3 linked regions of the Kluyveromyces lactis genome follow. The protein of the gene in region 2 interacts with the protein of the main gene of each other region in a pairwise test. Links are inferred from orthologs where the notes say so. Each region holds a gene or a part of one and is shown on either strand. Other genes may lie near its edges.

Region 1 (4,375 bases), on a different chromosome or scaffold from region 2:
CATGAAGTTTGATTTATACTTCTTATCATTCCCTAATAAGCAGTTTTCGAACAACTCTCAAGGTGCCATTGACGTCTTTAGAGAAAACGGTATTTTGGAATTGACCCACAATTATGGTACTGAATCTGATCCAGCATACAAGGTGAACAACGGTAATGAAGAACCACACCGTGGGTTTGGTCATATTTGCTTCAGTGTCTCTAACCTAGAAGCTGAATGTGAAAGATTGGAATCCAATGGCGTCAAGTTCAAGAAGAGATTGACAGACGGTAGCCAAAGGAATATTGCTTTCGCATTAGATCCTAATGGGTACTGGATTGAATTGATTCAAAACAACGAATCTGGAGAGGGGAACAACTACAAGTTCAACCATACCATGGTAAGAGTCAAGGATCCAATCAAATCCCTTGAATTCTATCAAAACGTCCTAGGAATGAAAATCCTTGACGTTAGTGACCATTCAAATGCTAAATTCACGCTATACTTCTTAGGCTACGAAAATGATCAAAAAGGAATTGCTCGTGGTTCAAGAGAAAGTATCTTGGAGTTGACACATAACTGGGGGACAGAAAATGATCCAGATTTCGCTTATCACACCGGTAATACTGAACCACAGGGGTACGGCCACATCTGCATCTCAAACAAGGATCCAGCTACGTTGTGCGCAGAAATTGAGAAACTATACCCAGATATCCAATGGTCTCCAAAGTTCAATCAAGGTAAAATGAAGAATCTCGCCTTCATCAAGGACCCTGATGGATACTCCATCGAAGTCGTCCCATACGGATTGGGCGTTTGAAGAGCACCAAACTCTCATCTATTTATTTGAAATGTAAATGCAAATTTATGTATCGTTGTATACAATATTCGATATGACACCGTTCAATCGCCATATTACAGCCATAACTGCCGGTAATACTGATAAAGATATCCTTTTGAAGTGACATGAAAGCACGTGACTGAGATTAATATAACTCTTCACATTTTTTTTTTTTTAATTTTTCATTACGCAGCAAACATGCAGCATCCACTAACTTCAGAGATTCCTGTAAGATAAGTGGTTCGTTATTTTCCGGATTCCAATTTTGGTGGTGCTCCGAAAAGTGGAAGCTCGTGATCCTACATGCTCACGAAACCCATCATCATGCAATCCACATTAAAGGAAGGGAAAAGGATATTGAACTTTTGACTATTTAGTATAAATGAAAACTACTTTGTAAGCTTGGACAGAGGAATAATTTCTGATTCGTGCTTCTGCTTCTACTGACTTGCAAACCAGTAAACAAGTTACTGCATTAATCAGTAATAATCTGCGTATAGCGAAACTTGTAACCAGTTTCCTCGTAACAAGGTTAGCAGAAGAATTTGCAAGAGGATCAAGTTGATAAAGACGTATATTTAGGTCTCTGCACGTTTTCAAACTTTTAAGCGAGAATCAAACGATTACAAAAAGGAAAATATTGATACAAGTAATAATAAACTGCAATGACACAATCTTTGCCATTGTTGAACGGTACGGAAGCGTACAAATTAGTTACGACTCAAGGGTTGTATGATAAGACAGTCAAGTTTTACGAAAAGTATTTGCAATTAGTTCATGACAAGCGAGTTGGCACATTGACAAATTCTTTAATCACTCTAAAGCTAGTTGTTGATAACAGCTTCAAGCCATTGGATGTTGTTAACGATAAAGATTGGAGGGCCATTGTGTCATCAGCATTGGTTTTTTCATGTACAAATATCCAACATTTCAGAGATTTGGCTGCTGGTGAAACGATTCAGGCCTATCCTAACGAAACCAACCCAATTGAAATATATTTGAAGGATCCAAACGGATATATCATTGGTATCACTGAAACGAAAAATGCTATTTCTATCAAACCTACGCTGCCTAAGCAATCTGTTGAGGCCTCTTTGATCTCCTCAAGATCTTCAAGAATAGACATTGCTTCTTCTGGTGTTTCCACTGACAGCTCGTATCCAGCGATTCCAAAGACTGCGAAAGCGCAAAAGTCCATCGCCGTTATGACATCCGGTGGTGATGCGCCAGGTATGAACGCAAATGTGAGAGCTATTGTTAGAACAGCTATTTTCAAGGGTTGTAATGCCTTCGTAGTCATGGAAGGTTACGAAGGTCTTGTAAAAGGTGGTCCAAATTATATCAAGCAGGTTTACTGGGAAACAGTACGTAACTGGTCTTGCGAAGGTGGTACCAACATTGGTACTGCTCGTTGTAAAGAATTTAGAGAGAGAGAGGGAAGGTTACTTGGTGCTCTTCACTTAATCGAAGCTGGTGTCGACGCTTTGATCGTGTGTGGTGGTGACGGTTCCCTCACTGGTGCTGATTTATTCAGATCTGAATGGCCTTCTTTGATTCGTGAACTCTTAGATCAAGGAAGAATTAACAAAGTTCAATTCGATAGGTACCAGCACTTGAATATTTGTGGTACTGTTGGATCCATCGATAATGATATGTCTACTACAGATGCTACCATTGGTGCCTACTCGGCATTGGATCGTATCTGTCAAGCAATTGATTACATTGAGGCCACCGCTAACTCCCATTCCAGAGCCTTTGTGGTGGAAGTTATGGGTAGAAATTGTGGTTGGTTAGCTTTATTGGCTGGTATCTCTACATCAGCTGATTACATCTTGATTCCAGAGAAACCTGCATCATCAAGAGAATGGCAAGATCAAATGTGTGATATCATTTCAAAGCATAGGTCAAGAGGTAAGAGAACAACTATCGTTATTGTTGCTGAAGGTGCCATTTCAGCAGACTTAACTCCTATCTCATCTAAGGACGTTCATAAAGTCTTAGTGGACAGATTGGGTCTAGATTGTAGAATTACTACACTAGGACATGTCCAGAGAGGTGGTACAGCCGTTGCTTATGACCGTATTCTTGCAACATTGCAAGGTGTGGAAGCTGTCAATGCAGTTTTGGAATCAACTCCAGATACCCCTTCTCCTTTGATCGCTATCAATGAGAACAAGATCACTCGTAAGCCTTTGGTTGAATCAGTTCAACTAACCAAATCTGTTGCGGAAGCAATCCATTCCAAGGATTTCAAAAAGGCTATGCAATTGAGAGATTCGGAATTTGTTGAGCATTTGGATAATTTCATGGCAATCAATTCTGCTGACCATATCGAACCTAAGTTACCAGAACACACCCATATGAAGATTGCTATTGTCAATGTCGGTGCCCCAGCTGGTGGTATGAACTCTGCAGTTTATTCGATGGCTACGTACTGTATGTCTCAAGGTCACAAACCATATGCAATTTACAATGGTTGGACTGGGTTAACTAGACACGAATCCGTGAGATCTCTAAACTGGAAGGATCTTTTGGGATGGCAATCCCGCGGTGGTTCTGAAATCGGTACCAACAGACATACTCCTGAAGAAGCTGATATCGGTTTGATTGCTTACTATTTCCAAAAGTATGGATTCGATGGTATCATCATTGTCGGTGGTTTTGAAGCGTTTGTCTCCTTGCATCAATTGGAAAGAGCAAGAGAGAACTATACAGCCTTCAGAATCCCAATGGTTTTGATTCCAGCCACTTTATCCAACAATGTTCCGGGTACCGAGTACTCCCTCGGTTCGGATACCGCTCTGAACTCTTTGATGCAATACTGTGATATTATCAAGCAATCTGCTGCATCAACCCGTGGTAGAGTTTTTGTTGTTGATGTTCAAGGTGGTAACTCTGGGTATCTAGCCACACATGCCGCTGTTGCTGTGGGTGCCCAAGTTTCCTATGTCCCAGAAGAAGGTATAAGTTTGGAGCAACTAACGCAAGATATTGAAAACTTGACGGAATCATTCAGCGAAGCTGAAGGTAGAGGTAAATTCGGACAACTTATCTTGAAGTCCACCAATGCCTCTAAGGTGCTTACTCCTGAAGTGTTGGCTGAGGTCATTACTCAAGAAGCTGAAGGTCACTTCGATGCCAAATGTGCCATCCCAGGTCATGTCCAACAAGGTGGTCTACCTTCTCCAATTGATAGAACAAGGGGTACTAGATTCGCCATCAGAGCTGTTGGTTTCATTGAGTCTCAACACAAGGTATTAGCAGCTGAGGCAAATCTGGATGATGACGACTTCGACTTTGATACACCAAAGATCATAGCAACTGCATCAGTCTTAGGTGTTAAGGGATCTGACATTGTCTTTAGTTCAATCAGACAATTGTACGATTTTGAAACTGAATTGAACAAGAGAACCCCAAAGACTATTCACTGGCAATCGACTAGAACCATTGCGGACCATCTTGTAGGAAGAAAAAAGCTATGAAATTAAAAACGTATCTGCTTCCTCAAAATTCCCACTGAAATGGATGTATATTATTATGTAAACTGCATTTATA
Region 2 (4,141 bases):
TTTAAATTATTTTATTATAAGCTTTACCCTGTCCTCTATCATAATTATCATATATATAATTACAACTTAACCCTTTTCATTTAAGAACCCGGTCTTAATACTATCAACTCCATGCAGCTAATTTTCGTTATTATCCCAAAATTTAAGCTGGATATATCAATCTCTGGGCAATTACAAAACTCCGTCGGTTAGGAACCAGATACTTCGTTGTCAATTGCTTCCCACATTATAGCATACCTATATAAAGTAACACCTGATAATGGCAATAAAATATAACAAAGCACCATAAGTTGAGGCCTAACGAGGTTAAGAAAAAAATTTCTATGTAATAATATACACATGTTTTGGCAACAATATATCTATAACATATATATGTCTGTGCTTGTGTTTGTGCTTGCGCTTTCTGATTGAATAATTGAGAAGGTGCAGGGTATTGAAAAGATTGAAAGATTCATTCAACTACTCTTGTCCAAATCCGATGGTTTCTTCCACTGCTAATGTTAGCTTCTGCTTGAAAGATTCATAATCAGTGTATGGTGGAAGATCCACTCTGTTGAAACAAGTGTGTGACTTGGGTAGTTGTTGAACTTCACCTGCTTTTTCGATAGTGAATCTTCTTGGACCATCAGAACCTTGCAAATCTTTGAATCCATTGACCGGGATACGCGATGTACCAGTTGTGAATTGTAACAAACGTGCTCTTTGCTCGTTGTCCCATTCAGTGATACATTTCCAGAACCACTGGATAACTTCGTCAGACTCTTGGTATCCACGATAATCTGTGTGTTTTTTCCAGTCTTCAACATCAATTTCTGCAATACCACCAATCAATAATTCAAGTTCACGTTCATCAAACACGTTGACTAGATCTTCAGGAACCAATTCGTTAAATCCATCCATAAATGCCTTAAATTGTTCTTGAACTCTGTCTGCGATCCTCCATTGGGTATATAGTTCAACATATTCTTTCTTGTTTTCATCTGTGACTTCGATTTCTCTGCCGTTTGGTTTCAAATCGACGACAACCAGTTCACCAAATCTTTCATCATCAACATTAAATGTTAGATCTAAAATGCCATCTATGCTATTTTCTAAAATCCATTTCAAGGAGTTGTAGACTTCTGAATCGACACCTTCCATATCTTGTAATACTACCTTCTTTCTTAGCATCATCTTATATAGAGCACCAACGAAGAATGCATCCAAGAACCTTCTATGGAATACACCTAAACCGACGACTCTACCAATGAACTTGAAGTAGTTCAAATGCTCAGGGTTGATACCACTGTTTGGATTGATTTGGATAGTATAGTTATCATGGGCAGAATATTCAAATAGACAGTAGAAGGGATTAAACATCTCGTGTGATAGTAAAAAGAAGAATTCTCTTGAAACACCACCATAATCTAAACCTTCTTCACCGTCAAATTTGATCATTAGTCTCTTCTTTAAGTCTTCTGGCGTTTGTCTCATTATTTCTTGGTAAGAATCTTCGAAGATATTCTTTCTGCGTACTCTGATGTGACATTGACCTGGTAGAATTCTTAAAGCCGGTTGGGATCTGAAGTAAATAACCTTACGTCTGAAGTCACGCTTATACTGTGGAACGTTTTGATCCAAGGAAGAAGGTAATCTAGGATCATCCCAAGTGGTGGTCTTAGTGTTATGGTCAACGAAGTATACACGGGCTGTGTTTGTCAATCTCATCTCCCAACCAGAAGGCAAAGGTCCTAACTGAGATACAGGTTGTTGTTGTATGGTATTTGTGGAAGGCCCATAGGTTCTAATATATTGTTGTCTTCTTGGATCGACCCATGTCGTGGTTCTTGTGTTGTGATCAACGAAGTACGCTCTTCCTTCAGGAGTGAACCGTTGTTCCCAACCTGGTGGAAGTTCACCCAACCCCGATGTGGTACCCCCAGTGGCAGCAAAAGTAGCAGCTGCTGAACCGTTTACGGCAGGAGTTTGAGATCCAGTACCGGTATGAACAGCAACGTTTGATGAAGACGAGCCCTCTGATTGAGCACCACCATCAGGTAAAGTTCTTCCTCTGTGTTGTCTACGTTCTAGTTCGGTGTTGACACGTTGAACCTCGGATTGATCCAAAGTGGGTCTTTTCCATGTTGTTGTCCTTGTATTATGATCCACATAATATGTTCTTCCAAAGTTATCCGTTCTTCTTTCCCATCCTGGGGGTAAACGACCATATTGATCTTCAAACGATGAGTATTGCCTGCTAGCTGACGATTGAGATTGAGCTGTCGAAGGTTGACCGGATGGAGCAGCATCACTTGAACCGGCACCTGAACCTGAACTGGCGGTACCTGCAGCATTCGCAGAATCCTGGTTGTCTAATGTAGTAGTTTGCAAGTTGTTAGCAACAGTCTGAGCAATCAATCTGTTGTCGATAGTGGAAGCGTTCGTCATCGAATCCGATTGACGAGCTGCTCCGGAACCAGCAACAGCACTACCTGCGGCACCAGCAGCTCCATTACGGCTGCCAGCTCTGGGGAGAACCGTCAAAACCAATATTATTCTACCACTTACTGACAACCCGTCGTTAGAACGTTTTAAATCTCTAGTAATAGTCTCTTCACGAGCTCTACCGTTCGAAGTGGCAGTATCTTCGTCCAAGTGACCCAGAATGTCACCAATACGAACGTTGACAACACCTAGGAACCCTTGATCTTTCTTCTTGAACTTTTTCTGATCAAACACTTGAACAGTTAAGATCGAATTTTCACTCACATTTTTGAATTGAAATACTTCATTCCAGTAGGGATTCAACGTCTTCTTTGCAGCCGCTGTGGATTTCGTCTGAGAACCATCGATAGTCAAAACTGCAAACGGATCAGGAGATCTAAACACATCCCTCCTGTTCAATGACTCAGCAGCCACTAGTTTCACAGAGATAGACATATTTCGCAGCTTTTTATTTTTTTAATGGTTTGTCAATTTCAAATCCGATAATTTCTCCTTCAAAGTGGAATCTCAATAACAAATTGAAAAGTCTTCAAACACTAGATATCTGATAAGTGGTAGTAACAGCAATAATTATTAAACAAATAAAACCGCCCGAGAAAGCCTATAAGGTTTTATTTTTTGTCTTTTGTCTTCTTTAATTGTCGTAATTGCAAAGAAACAGAACAGGAAACAGAACCAGAAAAAAAGTTGATGATTCCTCTAAAAAGAAGCAAAGAAAAATCAGATCAATACCTTGCTCAATACCCTTTTCCGTACCGTCCTTTTTGCCACTGTCAATGCACGTTTGCTTATCCTCTAGCACCTTGATCTGATGATTAAATCGGATGTTGTTTGCAAGTAAAGTATCTTTGTTCTTGTTTTGTTTCCTTAATTAAAATATGCAAATCACAATTTTCTTTTCTCCTTTACTTGTCACGTGAGGAGATTGAAACCTGGAAAAAGAGTACTAAAGAGGGATACCAGGCTACGCCGAGTATGTCAGTAAATTCGGAAACGGCATTAATGGCGGTGGTAGCCACCAGGTTGCAAGAATCTGCCGTATTGCTGTCAGATGACGTGCATATGGGACGATTATGGGCATCACGTGACAAAAATCATATCGTCCAAAATGACATAAATATAAACAAGCCTTTGCCAGCTTTAAAGATGCTGGGTTTGTTTACAGGTAAACAAACCTCTTGCAAACATAAACAGGATGTTTGCTCATATGGCTGCCTAACACACTCAATAGGTAACGTGCCTTTCTCTAATTTTTGTTGCTTGTTCTGCGTTTGGTCCTATTTTTGATTGGCTCAGTGTTTGCTAGTGCTATTTTTATTTGCCCTGTATCATATATAAACATGTCGTTTCTAAAAGTGACCAGCTCTTACTCCTCTAATGGATGTACCTGTTAACAATCAATTATTCTCTGCAGTGCAAACATTACACAAAGTCAAATAAGAAACTGTATATTGCGAAAATTATGACTGAATTCTACAGGGCTCCAGAGATATTCAGACAGAACGCCATCATCGTCAAGAAGAGTAGAAGAGATATTAGCGATGACGAGAACAGTACTATTGTCAGGCGGAATTGCAAGATAGAGGCTTCGAAATTGAACAGTTCCTTGCTAAGGAAGGTTAGTGGTGATTTGAACGATGTCATTGTCACGAAAAAA
Region 3 (2,711 bases), on a different chromosome or scaffold from region 2:
GCATACATGGTTTAACATACGCTGTGACTCCGATAGCCAACTACTCATTGTTATGTGCTATTGTTGCGTGTATATCAAATACTATGAGCATATATAGAGAGGCAAACAGTGCCTATCTTGATGCGTTAATGTGCACATATTTACTGCGCTCGTCCAGAAGCCCATCGCTTTTCGCGATTGGGCTTCTGGACTGAAAAGACGTGAAGTGTTACCCGGTCATTGTGTTTTCCGGGTAACGAAAATCGTTCGAGGCTTTGAATCAGCAAATTTACCGGCCGTTGCTATTAAGTCCAATGGTTTATACCCTTGAAGCCACCATTACTATACACCATTTAGGGTTCCTTTTTCCACCTTAGAGCCGTGGATTTGCATGTTATTGCGTGGATATGATGGTTCACTCATCTGCTAGACGAGTCATGGATATATAAGACACGCATAAGCCAGATGTCTAACTAGATGCATGGAAGAAAGGTTGGAAGGAGCCGTTGGCTGTTAGGCACGTGACCCAACATTCTATAATGGCAGCGTCAGTTAAACAATCAGGTATTCTTCCGTCGTATGACGAAGCAGTCGGACAAGGTTCGTCTACCGGTGCTTCTCGGCATCAAGAGGCATCAAATGATGAACCAAATGATGAACCAAATGACGAATCAAATGATGCGTCCAATGATATACCAAATAATGCCACCAATTCCACCACTACCAGTAGCTGCAATACCGGTACTGATATCGACCAGCTTCCCTGGACGTATCCTCCATGGTATTACTGTAGAAGGTGCGGGAACACCGGTGTAGAGACCAGGACGCAACGCAGGTGTAGAACATGTTGGTCAAGATTCAATAGAAGGCAGTTTCCAGCAAGACGTGGTCTTATACTCACAGTTGTGCTCTTAGGTGTAGCTGTAGTAAAGCATTTGGGTAAACATGTCAGCAATGCCAGCCATGCCAGCCATGCCGCCCATGCAACGGATTAGGAAGAGATTCTACATAACATGTACACCCAGGTAAATAATTTAATTTATATTAGCATTGCAACGCCCATAGTCAGATACTCCTAACCATATGAAGTTGCTTGTCTCTCTCAGGTGTCTGTTGATTGATGACAGATTCCTTTGTCAGTAGTATGAGATCGCCAGAGCAGAGATATGAGTTTGTTACCCGGATATTTGTATATATGGTCCGGGTAACATGAACTGATCAAGGCTTTGACTTTGATGCCCATTAGAACCATTAGTAGGAGCATTGGCAAGAGTGGACCCTTGTCTGTAAGTCCGCAGTTACTCACTGGCTGCATCCAGTAGTTATCAATGGCTAAAAGCCCAGTTTAGGATCGGGATTCGTCCACATTGCAGCCGTCGTGCTATAGGGTTTCCTCATTTTAGGTGCATCTGCCAAATAAATCACGTATATATAAAAGATCAAGATATATAAGGGACATATATTTAGTCAAAGAAAAGTGTATGGAGAACGGGATCGGGATCAGTAAAGAACAGAGATCAGAGAACCAGTCACTTTGAGAATACTTCAATGAAATCAGAATCAGATATACAGCCAGATGAGCATCTTCCGTCGTATGATGAAGTGCTGAGACAAGATACTGCTGCTGCTTCGCAGCAGCAGCAGCAGCTCCCACCAAACCCTCCACCACGTCCAACACAACCACCAGCAAGACCGCCCCGGCCAAGCAATGCCATACCAGCGTACCATCATTCCACTAGTACCTTTTCAAGCAGTACCAGTACCAGTACTGGCAATAAGAAACTACCCTGGACGTACCCTCCAGGATATTATTGTAAAAAATGCGGGAACACTGGCACCAAGATCAAGACTCAACAAAAATGTAAGAAATGTTGGTCGAAATTCTACAAACCCCCACCTGCACAACCACCACGTCCAAGTGCAGGGCCAAGACCTGCGTTCGTATACTCTAATGTCACGATGCCACCACAGAATTTCGTCATAAACTCAGCACCTATCGTTGTGCGTCCCGGTGACAGTCGCATAGGAGGCATGATGTGTAACAATTGCAATGGGACTGGTAGGGTACGATTCTTCTTGGATAAAGAACCGTGTCCCGTATGCTACGGTCTTGGCAGGATTCTTACTGGACCAACCTACTAGTTTGATCATCTGATTCGCCCAAACTCTACACTGTTTAAGTAAAATTGTACATAATTAATTTCTATTCATTTCATGTTTGTCCATTAACAACATTCAATAGCAGGGTACTGGCTGAGGTAGCACATGATAGAGTAACTAGTCATGTCTAATTGCTGCTTCTCATGGTACGGTGTTTCCACAGTTTTACTTTTTTTCCTTGTATGACAAAAAGTGAAAAATTTCGATGAGTTCGAGTTATAGGAAACAAGAGGTATAAAGCGTACCATATGCATTTGTTCCATTGTAAAGTTTTCGATTTTGGGTTGGCTCTTTCAAGCTTTAACTGATTGGATAATTCAGTGAAAGTTTGTCGTTTTGTGTGTTAGTTTGTGCGTACGTGTCTCCTTCTGTCGGCTTCTCTCAACAAGTCCCGTTGTCTGACCAGTATCACATATTTATAGGGTCTTTCTTTTGCATGGATTAGTAACCCATATCAGGTAACCCATACAGCTAGCTATATTCAATAATGGAAAACAAACATATCTCGCACGTCTCTCAGATTGAAAGACGTGCTACTCCTTTGAACATTCGTCCAGCTTCGCCTTATACCT

What was found.
Region 1: the proteins of RSP5 (region 2) and PFK2 interact in binary tests that used the Saccharomyces cerevisiae proteins (3 or more experiments, as listed by UniProt). The link is inferred for Kluyveromyces lactis from reciprocal best matches to the Saccharomyces cerevisiae genes RSP5 and PFK2.
Region 3: the proteins of RSP5 (region 2) and KLLA0_A09757g interact in a two-hybrid assay, tested with the Saccharomyces cerevisiae proteins (2 studies listed by BioGRID). The link is inferred for Kluyveromyces lactis from reciprocal best matches to the Saccharomyces cerevisiae genes RSP5 and HUA1.

What each region holds. Positions count from the first base shown.
Region 1 is NC_006042.1:607,195-611,569, forward strand, and holds PFK2 (6-phosphofructokinase subunit beta), read left to right. Parts: upstream 1-1,485; coding exon 1,486-4,302; downstream 4,303-4,375. Other genes in the region: lactoylglutathione lyase GLO1, read left to right, coding at 1-799. UniProt on the Saccharomyces cerevisiae protein: Catalyzes the phosphorylation of D-fructose 6-phosphate to fructose 1,6-bisphosphate by ATP, the first committing step of glycolysis.
Region 2 is NC_006041.1:1,196,911-1,201,051, reverse strand, and holds RSP5 (NEDD4 family E3 ubiquitin-protein ligase), read right to left. Parts: upstream 2,920-4,141; coding exon 460-2,919; downstream 1-459. Other genes in the region: DSE1 (Dse1p), read left to right, coding at 3,866-4,141. UniProt on the Saccharomyces cerevisiae protein: E3 ubiquitin-protein ligase which accepts ubiquitin from an E2 ubiquitin-conjugating enzyme in the form of a thioester and then directly transfers the ubiquitin to targeted substrates.
Region 3 is NC_006037.1:854,816-857,526, reverse strand, and holds KLLA0_A09757g (uncharacterized protein), read left to right. Parts: upstream 1-1,527; coding exon 1,528-2,121; downstream 2,122-2,711. Other genes in the region: GOT1 (Got1p), read right to left, coding at 21-48; KLLA0_A09779g (uncharacterized protein), read left to right, coding at 519-974; FOL2 (GTP cyclohydrolase I), read left to right, coding at 2,627-2,711. UniProt on the Saccharomyces cerevisiae protein: May be involved in assembly and disassembly of the actin cytoskeleton.